3 linked regions of the Neodiprion lecontei genome follow. The protein of the gene in region 2 interacts with the protein of the main gene of each other region in a pairwise test. Links are inferred from orthologs where the notes say so. Each region holds a gene or a part of one and is shown on either strand. Other genes may lie near its edges. The genes, in order: leupaxin, breast cancer anti-estrogen resistance protein 1 and breast cancer anti-estrogen resistance protein 3.

Region 1 (5,869 bases), on a different chromosome or scaffold from region 2:
TAAAGATATCACTACAGTGTCGTTTCTTTGGTGTTTTGAATCCACTAACAAGGGTCGATTTTGGATTTGGATTTTAATATGTGAAACTAGGGCTGCGTATCCATTTAAAACAGCTTTGTTGTTTACAAAAATCAGTTTTTTCAACGCTGTATAAAATTGTTTTTAACGATACATTAAAAAACGAAACATTCAATGTGCGTAAATACTGAATAAAAATCGTTCTGAAAGTGTATCTTCAACACGTTTTAGAGAAAGAAGAAATTTACTTGGTTATCTTTGACCCTGCGTGGAATTTATCTCGCAACTCGAGTGACCAATTTGTCACCTTTGAGTTGATCGATTTGAGCCCGCGCCTAAGTTCGCAGGAGTGTATGAAAATAAAAAGTTTTTGAAACGTCACGCTTAGATCTGATATTCTGATTATCACGCGACATATACAGTATCGATTTTGCGGACAACAGACAACAGAGGTCTTACAAGTTTCTCAATTAGGGATTTTAAGGGTTCAAAAAATATACATCTTGGATAGTCGTTGACTCTCGAAATGATGGTACCCACAATTCTCTTAAGTGATTAGAACATTCATTTTTTTTATTTTGATTTTCTATTCAGGCTTGAATTGTGCCTCCATTCTGGAATCGAAATTAAATCTTGTTACATAGTTCAGTTATCAGTAAATCTTATGTGGTCGAAATTGTTATTGAGTCGCCATCAAGCATCGGGCTTGGATAAATGGACTGAATAACTTTGGGTAATAATTACCTTATAAGAATCACTGGGTTAGATTTTTCAACGTCCGGAAATCTCTTTTTTATAGACACAGAGCTGTAAGTGGTATACGGTGAAGTGTATTTTTTTGTAATAAATTGACTGATTGTGAAAATGACGAGTACCTCTGTGAGACCGATGTCCCCAATTACGCCTGCCCGTTCGGCCACTCTGGAGCGGCATAAACGCTGGGAGCGTTATATTAGTAAGTAAAAATAGCACAATTAACGTTATACGTTGATTATACGTTATGGGATTTCACGTCGTCAAGTGACAATTGGTTAATTGGTAGGAAATCTGAGATGTACGTGAACTCTATTTAAAGTGACATGTAATATTATATAATGCATTATATTTGTATGCAGAGAGGTTGAAAATTTATTATCTCGTTCGGTTTATCAATCTATGTAATCAATATTGCTGCTGCGTTGGTTTAGAAACCATTCACGCAATGATTCACGAGTCATAAAATAGATTTGAACGCGCGCAAAAACCAAACTAAACGTTACAAAAAAAATTAAACAAAATTAACCTCTGGGCTTTTAGCCAAAGCTTAAAGCTCATTCACGTTCCGAAAGTATGCAATAAGCTACGTTGGAACGTCGTACTCTTGACAGCTACGCATCAATCTTTTCTGCAGAACGTATCAAATGTACAGCAAATAGTCACAATGAAGTCGTATACAATGATGAATCGCGGATACTTGCGGATGAAATAAAATTATTAGGTATATTATTTTTCGCGTGCATTATCAGTAATAAAATTTACAGACTTGGTAGTTCATGAATTTCCGTTCAAATAAGAGAGAGAACCAGAGCGACATAATCGATGAGAGCAATAAATTTTGAAAATGCGACTTCGATATTTTTCGCATTTTACAAGTTTATTTTATAGTTATTCCATCTATCTGGGCGTCGGAATTGATTAAAACTGAGAATCAAAACCGTGAAAAAGTATGAAAAAAATGTAGATAGCATTCACCCCCGCCATTTTGTTTACACTCACTTAAGAGAATTCTGAAATTTTCATCACCTTAGTTCTTTTATACCTTTTATTACCAAGACCTCCATTTTTCATCGATCGTTTATAAAAATAACTGACCGACAGGGTAATTCTGATCCTGAATTTCAAAAGCGTCTCCTCGATCTTCACAATATCCTCAACAAAACATGAATCCCCGCCTTTCTTCGTTCCAACTCTACCCCATACATACGTACAATATACTAGGTATAAAACAGTTTTTGGAACTGACAACGCGATTCCGCGTGAAGTGGGGCGAAAGACCCGAGATAACGAAGCTCTGGAGGCGCGCGTTCGTCGTGCACCGGAGATTACAGAAAAATTTCGTCACGCTGGAGTCCCCCCCCCCCCCCCCCCCTTCATTTTTCCAGACGATGCGATGCCGCGACGAGTCCTCCGCCGCTTACACGTTTCCACCTCCCCCCCCCCCCGCCCGCTCACCCCCCTCCCCCTGTGAACCGCGTCGGGCGACGGAGAAGGCGACAGCCTTTCCTCCACCTCCTCGAGGGAACGCTTCGCGGAAGCCCATAGAGTCCCAACGCAATCGGCGAATGGCCGACCGGCGACCTTCTCGTCAGAGCAAGCAATTCACAGTCAGTCAGTCAGTTGGTCGGTCGGTCCCACTCAACTCCGCTGTCTACGAACGGCGCCAGAATATTGTACAAATATATTACCGCGCACGTTTGGAGTATATAAATTGCACAGTCGAAAAGACCCAGTTACTAGACCCTAATCCAGCCTCCCCCCTTTTCTCCATTCGAACGCAAAGGTGGTTTGCCGGTGATATTTACTCGCGAAATAAGTTGGTGCGTACCGTTTTCTTCACCTCGTAAAAATGGACAGTCAGTGCGCCTACGCCAGGAGGTCGACCGACAGTAACGACCTTTACGAGGTCTACGATCCTCAGAGGGCCCGCAACGGGGCCTCGAGCAACCTCGTAAGCCTCGGTGAGAATCCAATTCGTCTCAAGATCCCCCGACCATTCGTCCCTCGTATTTGTGATTTTCAAGGTTGAAGTAGTAGAATTTTTCACTAGCTAAATGCAGTGCCCACTGAGTGCGATTTTCCTAGGATTTCGCTTCTGTTTTTCCTTCGAAGCTGGGAATATTGCACTCAATGCACACCGAATACAGCTAGTGAAAAACGCTATTTGGTAACGTAGGTTTGAGAAAAAATTCACTAGTTTACGATCTTATAGGGTTTTTAACGGGCTGCACTCACAATCAGTGTGTACTACATGTCAGTTCTTCAGTTTTCGACAAATAGTAAAAGTGAAATCCGGGGAAATTCACACTCGATGCATTCAGTGCAGTCAATTGAAAACTCTATTGGAATGATTTGAAGGGAGGCAAGTTTTCAAAATAAGTAGATTAGTATGTTTTCATATGCTAGTACGGTTTATTGAATTTCAGAGGGAAAGCGGAATTCGAAATTTCGAAATAACGACTTGCTTATCGCATACAATCGTTACAACAACGTGACTAACTTCAATATTATATCAGATTCCTTACGTTTCGATCAGAAATCACGGCAGTCGCGACTCGGTTGACGCTGCGGCTGACGTCATCGACGCTCTGGTGTTGAGGTTAAAGGTACAGTTTGTCGCAAGGGTTATTGGGTAACTTGAACCATCGATACATGCTCGAATAAGTAGCAAATTCAAGGTTCTTGAATGTGGATTAGTCCGTGATGTGACGTCACTTTTTCCGACTTAGAGTGCGAATAAACCGAATAGACAAACTTTACCAAGGATGGAAACTGCACGCGTGTTTAATCTGCGATAAATACTATTTCTTAATCCACGAAATAAATTAAATCTCTTAAGCGTTGGTACCTGCAGAGTATATCATCATTTGCAGCGCATTTACATTATACCGCGGTGCAGAGGATGAGTATAAATCATAGACTTACAGGCAGGATGTTCTTCGCGAGTATAACGGATTACAGTGCACGGGATCTCTGTAGTAGTTTTGTTGCATTAAGAGTCAGGAATTCAAGAGAGAATATATACTTATACGTATGAATCCACGGACACGATATGTACGATCCACGCGCGTGCCACAAAATGCGTAACAGAATAGAATGTTGTGCATATCTCGACTGCATCGTTCCACATCGCAAGATTATGGAAGAAGTATTTTTGAAACGCTTTATTGTTGCTCGAAATGAATTTACTCCATTCACTGGCAAAACTTCACTTTCAAGTATGATGATTTAAGATTTTATTTATATGTTTTTCACTCTTGTATGCCAACGTCAAATGTTTTTGATCTTGACAGTTTTTGGCTACAAATTATCTAGAAGCATTTCGCTTGAGTAATGTTCATTAATGGTTTCCAAGTGGTTGACTATTTCTTTTTTTGTAATCAAACCGAAACATGTTTCTTTTTATAAAAATTTTATGTGCCTATTGATCAATGTATCGTTTGTTTTTCCTGTTACTTACGTCGTTAGTCATTTGCATATAAAATTTACTTAGAAAGGAAACCCGTTCCGGTTTTGATTCCAAAAAATAATCAACCACTGGGAAACCCAGAAATGAATATTACGTACTACGTCCTTCGTTAGGTTTGCACTTAGACGGTGACATTTGTCGCTACACTCCTTTAGCCCATTTTTCTCTTAATCACAGGTCAGTTTTTCGTTCGAGGTATGCTTTTTAATATTTTCTATGTCTACCGCCCAAAGATCGAAAATCAACGTTTTCTCAAAAGTTCCGTAATCAATTCTGATTAAATTTTCACACAAGATTATACATGTAAAACAAAATTGTCAAGACTAAATCGAATATTCCGATACATCTAGCTTCGGAGTTATGAAGTTTTTGATTAATCATTTAAATGATATCGTTTCTTTATTACAACATTTTTTTTACAAAATACCACAAATTTGATACGTATTTCGTACATGTATCTGTACATTTCGTATATTTTTGTACATGTACAAACATGCTAATATTTTATAAAATATGATATACCTCTTGAGAAACGTATAAATGAAGTTTTACTACATCGACGTTCAATGTGTTATTACATATTTTTGTGATTTACATATTCTTAACTTCATAACAATTGTTATTTACTACATTGCTTGCACGTAAATTTTCTTGAGATAATTATGAGAAAGCTAATAAAACCTCAATGCAAATGTAGCGATTCAAAAAAATGAACCTGCAAGAATTAAAAAAAGCGTATCTTCAATTTATTCTATATATGAATAATACCAATTTTCAGATATGATGATACAAGTATAAATGCTCTGATTACCTAAGTAATTGTTAAAGGTACGTTTTACGCAGTAAGTAATTGAGCATTTTATTTACTCAATGAAAAAATCATTCAATTCTTTCGACGGTTTCGGTACAAGTTAAACTTGATTAATTACTTCACAGAAAACAAAATTACAATTAGATAGATTCTGAATTAGAGATAGAAATATTTTCACCTCTAATTGTAACAAACTGGGATTTTAGTCTTAATTTTACGAAAAATAATGAGAAAATGCGAACTTTTTCATATTATTTTATTTGAAAGATCTTGCAATAGCTGATTAATATATTCTTACAATAAAAGTATCCTTAATATGCCAATTTCTCAAGCGGCTTGCAGCTTGACGCATTGCTTTCTATAACGCAATCTGCTGACATTCTTTGAATATGCATAACCAGGAATTATTCGCTGACATATGCCGAACAAGCACAATTATGTTGATCATTTCCAAACTACAACAAGAAAGACGGTTGAATGTATAACGGCATTCATCGTTCTTTCAGCGACTATTTTTTCAGATTGATCTAAACATAAAAAATCAAAATCAATTTTATGCCAGAAAATTAAACATATGACAAAACTAATTATATAACCTACTGAAAAAATTAAGATTCCTTTCTTCTTTTTCTTGACGCGAAATGAAATTGATTTTAATATAAAGTTGATGGACAGATGAATGTACAGCAACAAATATGGACGCTGTAATTCATGAAGATTTGCAGCATGGCAAATAAAACTAAGCATTCAAATTTGTTATTTGAGTATTATAGATATTACTTTCTCCACTCTACGAGTTACTCACACATTCACAC
Region 2 (5,454 bases):
GAGAGAGACCGCTGCTGCCGTCTCCCACCCCAAGCGCTGAGACAGAGAGAGAGAGCGCGCGCACACGCTGGAATAGAGAGAGAGAGAGAGAGAGGGAGATCGCGCGCACTATAGCAAACGAGCACTATAGCCAAAAAGTGTCGGTTTTTTGGTGTCGTTTTTTTCCGCCTAGCCCCTACGGTGAACGAGCGATAAGGAACTTCGTTCCAAAAAAAAAAAAATTTTACACTAGGATGATCCCTTAACATCCAAAAGGTGTGTTCTTTATTTAGCTACCGAGCTACCGTTGGATGCGCTTGAAGATTTAAATATAGATTAGTGCGCAAAAAATTCAAGTATCTCTGTGTCATACATTTTGGATTAGCTGCACCAACAAAACTGGAAAAATTTAGTTATAGTGTACTTTGTTCAAAAAGATGTTTTAGACGAGTCGTCACTCGACCTCCCTCGTTATTCATGATTTTTATCTTACCAGAAGTATCAATTGATTCTTAGACAGCGTAATTTTGGATGGAATGAAGGAGTGAGAGGGTATTATAGGCATTCAATTTGAATCACAATAGCAATGAAAAAAAAAAAACATAAAATTACTCTGGGCGGCCAAATCTCATTTTGTGTAATACAACTATTGTAATACAACGCTACATGCTGTTTACTTTGATTTCCTTGTAATTATTTCGTATGTCTGGGAAACTGAATTAATCTTACTGTCCCACGTTTACTTTGCTTATCTTAAAATAAATCATGTTAAATATAAGTATTGGTTGGCACAGTATCATTTATGTATAAAAGATGCTAGTTTTAATGAAATGCGTGAGAATAATTAATGTCAATGTTTGTGATGTCCGAATATTTTTTTTTCTACTCATTTCAAGTAAAAAATCGATTCGAAGATCGGCCAAAATGGACTTATTTCAATTTAATTGAATTGATTCTTATACTGATTTATTCATACATAATGCCCGTTCAATTTCATCTTTCATTTACTTACTTTGTTCAATATTGACAGCTTTCTTCAAATTCATTAATCGCTGAAATAGATCCATTTCACAATATTGTCAGTCGAAGACTCTTAAAAATTGAAATTAATTAACGTTCCGCAATACATTGGCATTCTAAACTTTACACGTATAAACTACGTAATCACTATTTTCAAAACTACTTTTCATTACCTTTTGTGATATAAGAGAAGTATTGGTGGCGGTCGAAAATAACTTTTTATAATTTTAACGAACTTTTACATTTTCGAACCTCTAGAATCCGAAAAACAGGTTCTTAGAAAAATTTCTGTCGATTTTTCTACTTTTTATGGTGATAAAAAGTGTTGCGAAAAAAAAAAAAAAAAAAAATAATCGGACACGAGTCAATTGATTCTGTGAAAATGAATCGGTTAATCGATTATGTTGTATTTTTTTGAAACATTGAATATCAAACCAAAATTTTGTAAATTTCAGCATATAGTCTTAATAGCGGAAAAGTTTTTTGATAATTTATAAATGCATTTAAAATATTTTTCAATTTCAGGTGAAAATATTAATTCATCTTTCACTTATTATATCAAAAAGGTACTCAGTGAGCAAGCAAATGACAATAATTAATACTCCAATCACATAAATTGATAGTGTATTACGTCGTTAATGAGAGTACGAAAAAAAAGGACCGAAACCGATTGTGAGGAAAAATAATCGAGTCGGTCGATTAATCGAGATTGAAAAAAAAAATAATGGATTTAATCTAAAATCGATTACATCTGGTCATTCTTAATACATACCGGGACAATCTCTTGAAACTTGAAAATCAACTGCGCGTGCGCGAGTTTTATCGGCTGTTCGCGCAGGCTGGCGATCCCGAGTTTCAGCTGTCAAACTGTTTCAGGCAGCGATGTAGTTGATACGAGTTAACGAGGTTAGAATCTCAAATAAGTGAGGCAGTGGCTCGGAAAGGATTGGGAAGCATTTGTTATTGGGTCGGAAAGTTGATTCTTCAAAGAACGGTCGGAATTTAATGCTTGAGCTCTTTGAAAATTCAAACGTACACATTTTGCGTAGGTTGGCCCGCCTGCGTCGCAGACATGAATATCGCTGCGCGAAGATTTTGCCGACCAATGAGATCAAATTATTTGGCACATGCGCGGTTGATTTTCAAGTTTCAAGAGATTGTCCCGGCATTCATACATATATGATTGTATTACGCTCGTCACAGACACCTTGCATCGACAAGGGTGCAGAGAAGGTTCGTCGTAGGCAATCGTGCGTTCTCGGCAAGCCTCGGGCCAACGGTTCCACCGCCCCGATTCGATTCGATTCGATTCTCCAGAGCCGCCAGTCTCGCGCACGACCTCCGGCGGTGAAGATGTCTCCGTCTCTTCCGCTCTCCGTTACTTTAATTTCGTGAAATTCCGGGTATTAACGGACACACAAACAGATCACAAAGCATCGAATCAGTGCAATTCAACACGCTGCCCGCTCCGCTTGAGCGTGAAATCGGTTGTTTTCTAAACAAGGTGGAAAACGGTGCAAATTGTTCGTCAGTTTTTACTCGTGTACACATGTGTTTGTGTTTTGACAGTTCAGTGAGGAAAACGGTATAGAATTTTAAGAAATAGTGCGTAAAATTGGAGTTCCGTTACATTTAAGTTCGAATATCAAAAGTGCGTGGATAATATTATAATTCGCCGATTGCCCGAGTGTGAACATCCATTCGGTTGCTATTTATCGCAGACCGCCTTAGGCGCAACAGCTTGTGTGCCGATATAGGCGAGCATCGACCAAACGACGACGGTAAATGAACGTGAAAATGTTACCGCAGACTCCTGACATCATTCCCACGTCTTTGAATCAGGTACTGTTCGCCACACATGCCTATGATCATCTTCTACCCAGTCGCTATCCTTCCTATCGCGACGGTCGTTAATACCGAATGACTCTCGCGTGGCGCGCTTTTGGTTCGAACGGGCATTTAAAAATTCAAAAATACCGCACCGCGTTCAAGGCGCACACGTCACGCGTAGTGCGCCTCGCCACGTATGTGGCACGCAGGTATATCCGTGGCGACGCAGATGATACGCGATGAAAGAACACATTGTTGTTTCGCTAGCTTATCTTATCAGACCTCTTTCATCATTCACCTACTTGACCTCGGCGTCGAATTTCTGATATACCTACTCGTACACCCACGATATTTATATCGGGCAAACACTGCTCTTGAGGTGTTTCAGCGTAATTGCGTAATTCGTCGTGATCGACTGAAAGTTTTTATAAAAGTCTATTTCATTTTTTCGTAAGCCATCGATTCGATTTGAAATCCTTGGTCGCATAATTTTTGATGGTAGGAAGTGCGGTCTGGTCAGCTAGGCTCGATAATTTTTCATATGAATCATTAGTCGAATAATTTGCAAAGTGCAACCTCCAAGCCTGTTTCGCAGCAAAATGATTATATGAAAAATCTATTATTATCTATTTTTAATCCTGGCTCACCAGAGCGCACTTTTCAACAACAGCATCATCATTTAACGAGAAATTCGGTATCGATTCAGAGTTTTACGAAAGAATGAGATGGATTCTTGTAAAAACTCGTTGCGGCGGGTGCCCTGGTCGACTTCGACGTTCACATGTATATCTCCGCGTCAAATGAAAATGAATTGGAATGTTTTCGTTCATAATTGCGTATAGAATGGGGCTGTTGAGCCTATTTTCGCGTTAAAGATACACGGACTTCGATATTTGGAGATATGCAACGTCGAAATCGACGAGGACAACCTCTGAGAGTATTCTATAGTCAGTCTTTACTGATCATAGGTTATTTTCACTTGAAATAAAAAAAAAAAGTATTTGGATATACTTTTGACAGGCATTGCATGTAGGGTTGTGCCGACTGCGGGCATTATCGGATCAATGCTGCCATCAAATAAGTGACATTTTATTCAGTCGGTAAAGACTGACTACAGTATACTCTTGAGTAAGAAATTTGCTGTTTTTATACGTTAATATGACTATCTGCGTAAATCTATAAGCTCCCCCTGTTTCTCACCTGTTTCATTCGGTTTATTTTCATTATAAAATATCCGATCATAAAGAACTTGTAACGAGTACAAATTTTTTCCTCCACTTGCATGATAAATTTACGCCTCATCCGCGATTACCAACTATTGTGTATACTGTGATATTCACTGTTGAAGATAGAACAGCTTCTGAGATTTTACGCGGAAAATCGTACAACATACACACACGCACACACCCACACGCACACATAGCATCGAACCCGTCACACGGTTATCCTCAGGTAGAACGAATAAACTATATATTTTCGGATTATAGGTTAGGTTAGGTTAGGTATGTTTTACGTGTGTCGAACTGCCTATACATATAGATACACGTACCTGTGAACGGTATCTGGGTAGGTTCGTTCTGCAAATCGATGGTTGGAAGTGGAATGATTGTATTCGGGCATCTAGCAGATGGTGAATTGCGTGTTGAGTTCGGTTGCACGTGGGTTGTGTGTATTTAGGCAATTTGTATAACGCGGTAGTTTGCCCGTGTCAGTCGTTCACGTCGACAAATCTCGCCAATTTGATAATATTTAACTACGCCACGCCGTATATCTGCTCTAGCAGTATTACAAAAAACATCATTCAAAAAAGAAAAAAGACGCGTGTGTGTGTATTGTACAGGGACTCGAATTTCGCCTGTGTCAAGGGTAAAGAGAAGGCGTTTCAATTGGCGCTCAAATCTAATAACTATTATCATCACCGCGTAAATGCGTCGTATTCAATCGTGGGATGACTTTTATCAGACTTCAACGTTTCTGTCTCATAGAATCGAAAGATGTATCGAGGTGGTTCACCCATCATGTTTATTGTTCAATTTTCGAATATGTGTAATCCAATGTGCCTGGCTTTATCTGCAAGAAATTTCAATGCCGCGGGTTCATATCAAACATTGCTACTGCGTTTTATTTATGGAAAGAGGTTTAATCTTCTTTTGGTCAGTGATTTATTGACAAAAATAAATTTTCGATCGGGACCCAGGCCGGTCGTCTTCGGGCTGCAGAATAATTATATTTTAATGTATGTTAAGACAAAGTATGAAAAAAAAAAGTTACAGACAAATCCGTAAAATGAAAGTTGGTTAATCAACGATTTACATATGTATGCAGTCACGTGACATATGAAACACTCTGTGCAACATTATATAAACAGATAAATTAACGCGGGAGAATATCTTAATTACTACCTAACTATGTCGTTTGACGCTGATTAGTGTTAATCGTTTTATTAAGCTGCCATGATGTGTTTATTTTAACTTTCATTTTTTTCCTCAGTTCCTGACTGCTTGCACTGGGAACGTAATTGGGCTAATTTTAATATCGATGATCGTCGGTCACAGTCGCATTATCGCATTTGAGGACTGGGTGAATACGATTAAGATGAAACGTAAATATAAGTCCACAGACTTG
Region 3 (5,744 bases), on a different chromosome or scaffold from region 2:
TTCCTGAAAAGGCGATTTCACATGCTGCGGTCACTCAATTCAAAGAGTATCTGAAGATTACAACTATATAAGCATGATTGTTCGAAATTGACAAATTCATAGGGAACGCATAAGGCATGCATCTTTACATATTTTCTCAAAACTATGATCGTGTTGTAATTTTTGTTGCTTTATTACTTTTTTACAGAATTTTTACATACTCTGGTACAGTTTTTGTATTGTTTCTATGTTATAGTTTAATTTACGCAGAATGTTGTTCACTGTATAAAAATTAAGTATAACTAAATGAAAATATTGTCAGTGAAAACTATTCAAATCAAATCATAAAGTCGTATGGAAAACACCCGAATTTTTATCATTTTGAGCGTTTTAACTTTCAGATATTGAGGGCTTATTCATCACCAAAGCCATTATTCAGATTTTGGGATTAATAAATATATCTCGTTGTATCGGACGTCTTTTCGCAATTCTCCAGTTCCTCGTCACCTGCATAATCATCATTATCCTAAATAGTATCATTACACGTAACACTCAATAAATTGCTACGTTTCAAAGAAATCGATAACCTGCAGCACGAGTTGCCCACGCCTAAAAAAAGTGTCGTCGATCAATGAGGCGAAGCCAACAACGCCAGCATAATATATATGCAAACCAAATATAACACACACGCAGCGCAACACAAACACAGTGTCTACACTTCGCTAGAATACGATGATAAACGAAAGCCATCGTTGTCTGCTACTATCCAGTTAAATTTTAATGTTTGTCATCAGTGCCTACCAGCTGCAATATGGTCGACCTTCTGTATGCGCTATTGAGCAGATTATACAGTTGAAAATCAATATTCTTTTGGTACTTTTAACGCAAGATAGTATTTTTCAAATCATTAAATTCGCAAGCAAAGGTGTTTCCTATATATGAATGCAAAGAAACAGACCAAAATTACGAACAAAAGCTTTGATGTCGATTTTGGTGATCTTTAACCGCTGTAAAACGGTGAAACATATCATAAATTCACTTAAATTCAATTTACGTGATGGTTGGTTTTATTCAGAAGATGATTCTTCACGTTCCCATCATGACAATTTCTTCTTTGTTTCTTATCAGATTGGTGTCGTTAAATTTTTAATTTTTCCGTGTTGCAGTGATTTCGATAACAAACAGCAATACTGATTGAGTTGACTATTAAGTGAAAAATATATCGCTTCTGTCGAATTTCTAAAAAAACGTTTATATCTAACCAAAATCAACAGTTGTGGAGTGATAGTACAGAACGATTCCACCAAATTTCTCATCATTTCGAAACGGTTTAAAATTTAAAAAAATAACGATTCGAAAGCTCTTATTCCTAATTTTAGTCGTTTTTCGAGTTGTACGAATGTAATAATCTGACATGCAGTCGAAGTGCGACTGTCTTGTTATAAAATTATACCAAACTAGTATCGATCCTCAGTTGTACAACTTCCTTAAGAGGATGCTATAGTCAGTACTTACCGATCGAGTAAAATTTCACTTCTCTTAACTATTATGCGAAAGTGCCGCAATCGGCGCAATTCTACATGCAATGCCGATCGAAACTATCGAAAAACATTTTCACTGCATACGAAAATTATTCGAGGAAATTCGTTTCTGCCACAAGTGGTAATTCAGTTACAGAAATACAATTCATTGGCATTATTGTTGCATAAGACAAAACCTTTTTTTTTTTGTACATACGTACTCGGCATTGCATGTAGAATCGCGCTCACTACGGTATTTTTACACGAGCGATACATCGGGCTTTGATAATTAATAGTAAAAATAAGTGACATTCGACACGGTCGATGAAGAGACACTACAGCATCCTCTTAAACAACCCACTATCATCACCGCATCAGTTTGTCCTCGTCTCTTCTTCTTCTTCTTCTTCTTCTTCAGCAGCAACAACAGCAGCAGCAAGCTGTGTGTACATATGTTCACGTACAATATTAACACACACCCATGTCGGCATGGCGGCATGTTTGCGGGGGCCTGAAGCTATCGCCTGGTCTTCTCTCTCTCTTTCTCTCTCTCTCTCCGCTCACACCACACCCCATAAGTCGGTCCCAATCTGGGGTTATGTTCACAATCTCCTTCTCCTTCTCTCTTTCTCACGCGTTCCCCTACATTCCTATCAACGACGCTTCTCAATCCTTCGTGACGTTCACGTTACATTGGCTCGCACAGTGTCGCGTTATGCTTCGGAGCGGACAGAGCGCAGCGCCGCGCTGAGCCACGCGGTCAGCTTGTGTAATCGCATTGCACCTTCCTATTCAACAAGTGTGTCCGGGTAGAGTGGATCCGCGTCATTTAACCCTGCTGCAACACCGCCCGCCGATTCACGTTTTACCCGCAACTGATCAATCCCGCGCTGACGTCACAGAAAACATGGGGAAAACCGCAAGCAAGCTCAAATCGCGTCGCAGCCAAAGTTAGTCGATCATCGTTTGTTTATTCATTTGTCTAATACGATTTTTGTTTCACGTTCGATTTTCATTTCGTTTTTTTTTTTTTTTTTTTTTTATTATTTTTATCATCACAAACATGTCACGTATTGAATACAACACCCTTGATTATGAATTTTGGAATTTCATTTATTATATAATACTTGCGCTTGCACCACCCGCGGAAATTACAACGTAGATAGAAATCTATATGCAAACATATTATTATACATGCTTAATTATTGTCGTCCGTCGGGTGTAATACACGTAATACAAACTCCCATTTAAAGTATACAATAACGAATGAAAAGGTGAGTTGTGCACCGCGCTACAATACAACTTTTATCTCTACTCGCTGCACTGTCGACGACGTTGGTTATCAGTGTTTCGTTATATTCACGCCTACACATACCTATAACGCGTAACTAACATGTATTGTACTGTTTATAGGGTTTACTTATACGCGTGATCTTACATTATGGTGTTACGCTTTTTTATCATATAGCCAGATGTTGTGCTAGTCGTGCACTTAAATGCAGATGAACATGTACAGCAACGTTGTTTATATATATATGTTGAGCATTGTTTTGAAGCCGTATCGCCGCGCTTCATTACTATTCCGTCATACATGCAGGCCTGCGTAGCGTAATAATTTTTTCACTGACGTTGCACATATTACCTAATATTATACATGTTTGTATAAAAAATTTTGCAACCAATTCGAGCGCAGCAATTAAATCGCTGGCGACAGAGAACAATCATATTTTAGAACAGCAAAATTGACTCGGAGAAAAAATGTACAAACTTGGATACTGAACCCACTGTCTTATGATAGACGCACGTCAGTAATTTTGGCTACCACGTGTCTCCGCGATGTGAGGTATGATACTTTCTACAACCAATAACTGTACAGTTCGAATGCAGATAAATGGCTTAGTTGTCAAACGAGGAAGAGAAAGGCGCATATTTGAACTCGATTTTAGGAAACTGAAATATTAGCACGAAAACAGTTTCAGAACGAAATAAAGAATTGTTGATAAAATGGCAAAATCCAATTATTCAAACTTTGAAACGAATTGACGTCCGAAATTTGTAGACCAAAACCCAAATTAAAATAGTTATTTCTGCGCTACTTCCGTCAGCAACTCGACTACTTTGTAGTTTTTATGAGCACTAGTGCTTATAAAAACTACACAATATTCGCGTTTTTGACGGAAGTTAGCACAGAAAATAGAATTTGTCGTACGAAATAGATCTTTTCGTGGCAAGTGCGCATAAAATTAAGCTATTTTCTTACCTAGGGTGTAAAGTATCATGCCCGTGATGCGAACAATATTTTTCGTCCTACGTAGGCGTAAACGGGATTTACCGGTCCACTTCGCGGGCGTAAAATCCCGCTTTACGCCTACTATGACGCAAAAGATTTCTTGACGAGTATAAAGTCCCGCACGAGCCATAAAAGGTGAATGCCAAACTCACACGAGTTATGAAGTCCCTATATGCACGCTAGGGTGACCATTATTTACGGTGTTGACGAATTTTTTCCATACTGCCCCCAAATCAAGTTTAAATAATTCAATAAAGATCCCCAAATTTTTGCAGATTCTTAACTCAACTCTAACCCGCCACCCAAACAGGTGGAATTCCCTATTTAAGATACACGTGTTTCGGACACATTCTTAGCATACATTTTATTGTAAGCGTAATAATGATGAAAAAAATCTGTAACTACGAAGTTTTAGTGGGCAGTAGTGCTACTATCTGAGAAAAAATTCACATCGTTATACCAGGTAAACTAGACAAATTGCAATTCCTCTAAATGGAAAAAAGTCAGATTTCAAGGGCGTGTAATTTGTCGAAATTGCATGGTATGATGATTTGAATTTTTTCTCAGATAGTAGCACTAATGTCCACTAAAACCTCGTGGTTACAAATTTTTTTTTACCATTTTTATTTTTACAATAAAATATATGCTAAGAATGTATCCGAAACACGTGTATTTTAAATGGGGAAATGCACCCTCTTTGGAGGGGGGGGGGGGGGGGGGGGGGGGGTTAGAATTGAGTTAAAAATGTGAAAAAATTTGAGAATCTGTTTTGAATTATTTAAAGTTGATTTGAGGGGTGGTACGGAAAAAATTCGTCAACACTCTAAAGAACGGTCACCCTAATGCGCACGTGCCACAAATCCTATTTACTATGCTATCTCTTGTTGAAAACGAAAATATTGTGTAGTTTTTATAAGTACTAGTGTTAAAAAATCTACTTCTGAGCACTAGTGTTCATAAAAACTGCGAAGTAGTCTAGTTGTTGACGTAGGTAGCGCAGATGATAAATTTCAGTACAGATTTTCAAATCAGTCATAACATAACTTCAGGTTCTGCACGCGATGAAAAACTGAAACGACTTCGTAAATTTGAAAAAGAAGTTTATTACTTATCCAGGGATCTAAATCTAAATCTTGGAAAATGATTGAATAATAATCAAATAATTAATAATAGAAATAAATAATATCAACGATGTACGTATATTTATTTCAGTAAACGTAATACCTTTTTCAAAATTGTCAATTCTAGGTATGCAATCAAATGTGAACCTTATATAATCGAATCTATTTGAGTTGGATCCAGAATCAAATAACTGGTGTGGCAAACGGATGGAAATGAATTGCAGAATTGTGTCTAAAACGTTATATTTATATTATCTGTTGCTGTTGCCTCTAATCAATTTCTGAAGCAAAATTACGAGATTTAATATATCGTAGAAACAGATTTTTTGGTCGTTTCCTGTTTTTCTTCCTTTTTTCTCCTAACAGATAAAACTCGAAAACGTAGTATACTTAAGATTTTAAACTAAATTTCAAATGTTCCTCAAAATTCAGAATCATAATTCTCGTATTGATAGAAATTCTATTATTCCATTGGCAAGTCGCAATGCAATATAAAAAAATGTTAAAAACGCTTTTTTGTTTGTTGTTTTTTTTGTTTTGTTTCAAATTTGACTTACGCTAAAAACTTGAACTTCGAATAATCTACCACATTCAAATTTGCAATCTGGATTCAAGATTAAATGGCTTACAGTTTCGTTTCTCACACATGCGGTGATTGCAAAATAATACTTCTCAGAAATGTGTACATTTTTCACTGTGAAAAAAACTGTTTAATTCGTACTCTTTTCAACTCATGTTTCAGTAAATAGCCTCAGACAACCCAAGAAACTGTTTGCAATAGTCACTTCTGTTAATGCCACTTCGCACGTTCGACATGCTAATTTTGATGCTGTA

Evidence for each region.
Region 1: the proteins of breast cancer anti-estrogen resistance protein 1 (region 2) and leupaxin interact in a two-hybrid assay, tested with the Drosophila melanogaster proteins (2 studies listed by BioGRID). The link is inferred for Neodiprion lecontei from reciprocal best matches to the Drosophila melanogaster genes p130CAS and Pax.
Region 3: the proteins of breast cancer anti-estrogen resistance protein 1 (region 2) and breast cancer anti-estrogen resistance protein 3 interact in a two-hybrid assay, tested with the Drosophila melanogaster proteins (2 studies listed by BioGRID). The link is inferred for Neodiprion lecontei from reciprocal best matches to the Drosophila melanogaster genes p130CAS and CG9098.

Annotation. Positions count from the first base shown.
Region 1 is NC_060264.1:9,647,404-9,653,272, reverse strand, and holds the start of leupaxin, read left to right. Parts: upstream 1-2,415; 5' UTR 2,416-2,623; coding exon 2,624-2,735; intron 2,736-5,869.
Region 2 is NC_060261.1:18,409,749-18,415,202, forward strand, and holds the start of breast cancer anti-estrogen resistance protein 1, read left to right. Parts: upstream 1-1,999; 5' UTR 2,000-2,784; coding exon 2,785-2,841; intron 2,842-5,454.
Region 3 is NC_060264.1:18,766,805-18,772,548, forward strand, and holds the start of breast cancer anti-estrogen resistance protein 3, read left to right. Parts: upstream 1-2,198; 5' UTR 2,199-2,406; coding exon 2,407-2,449; intron 2,450-5,744.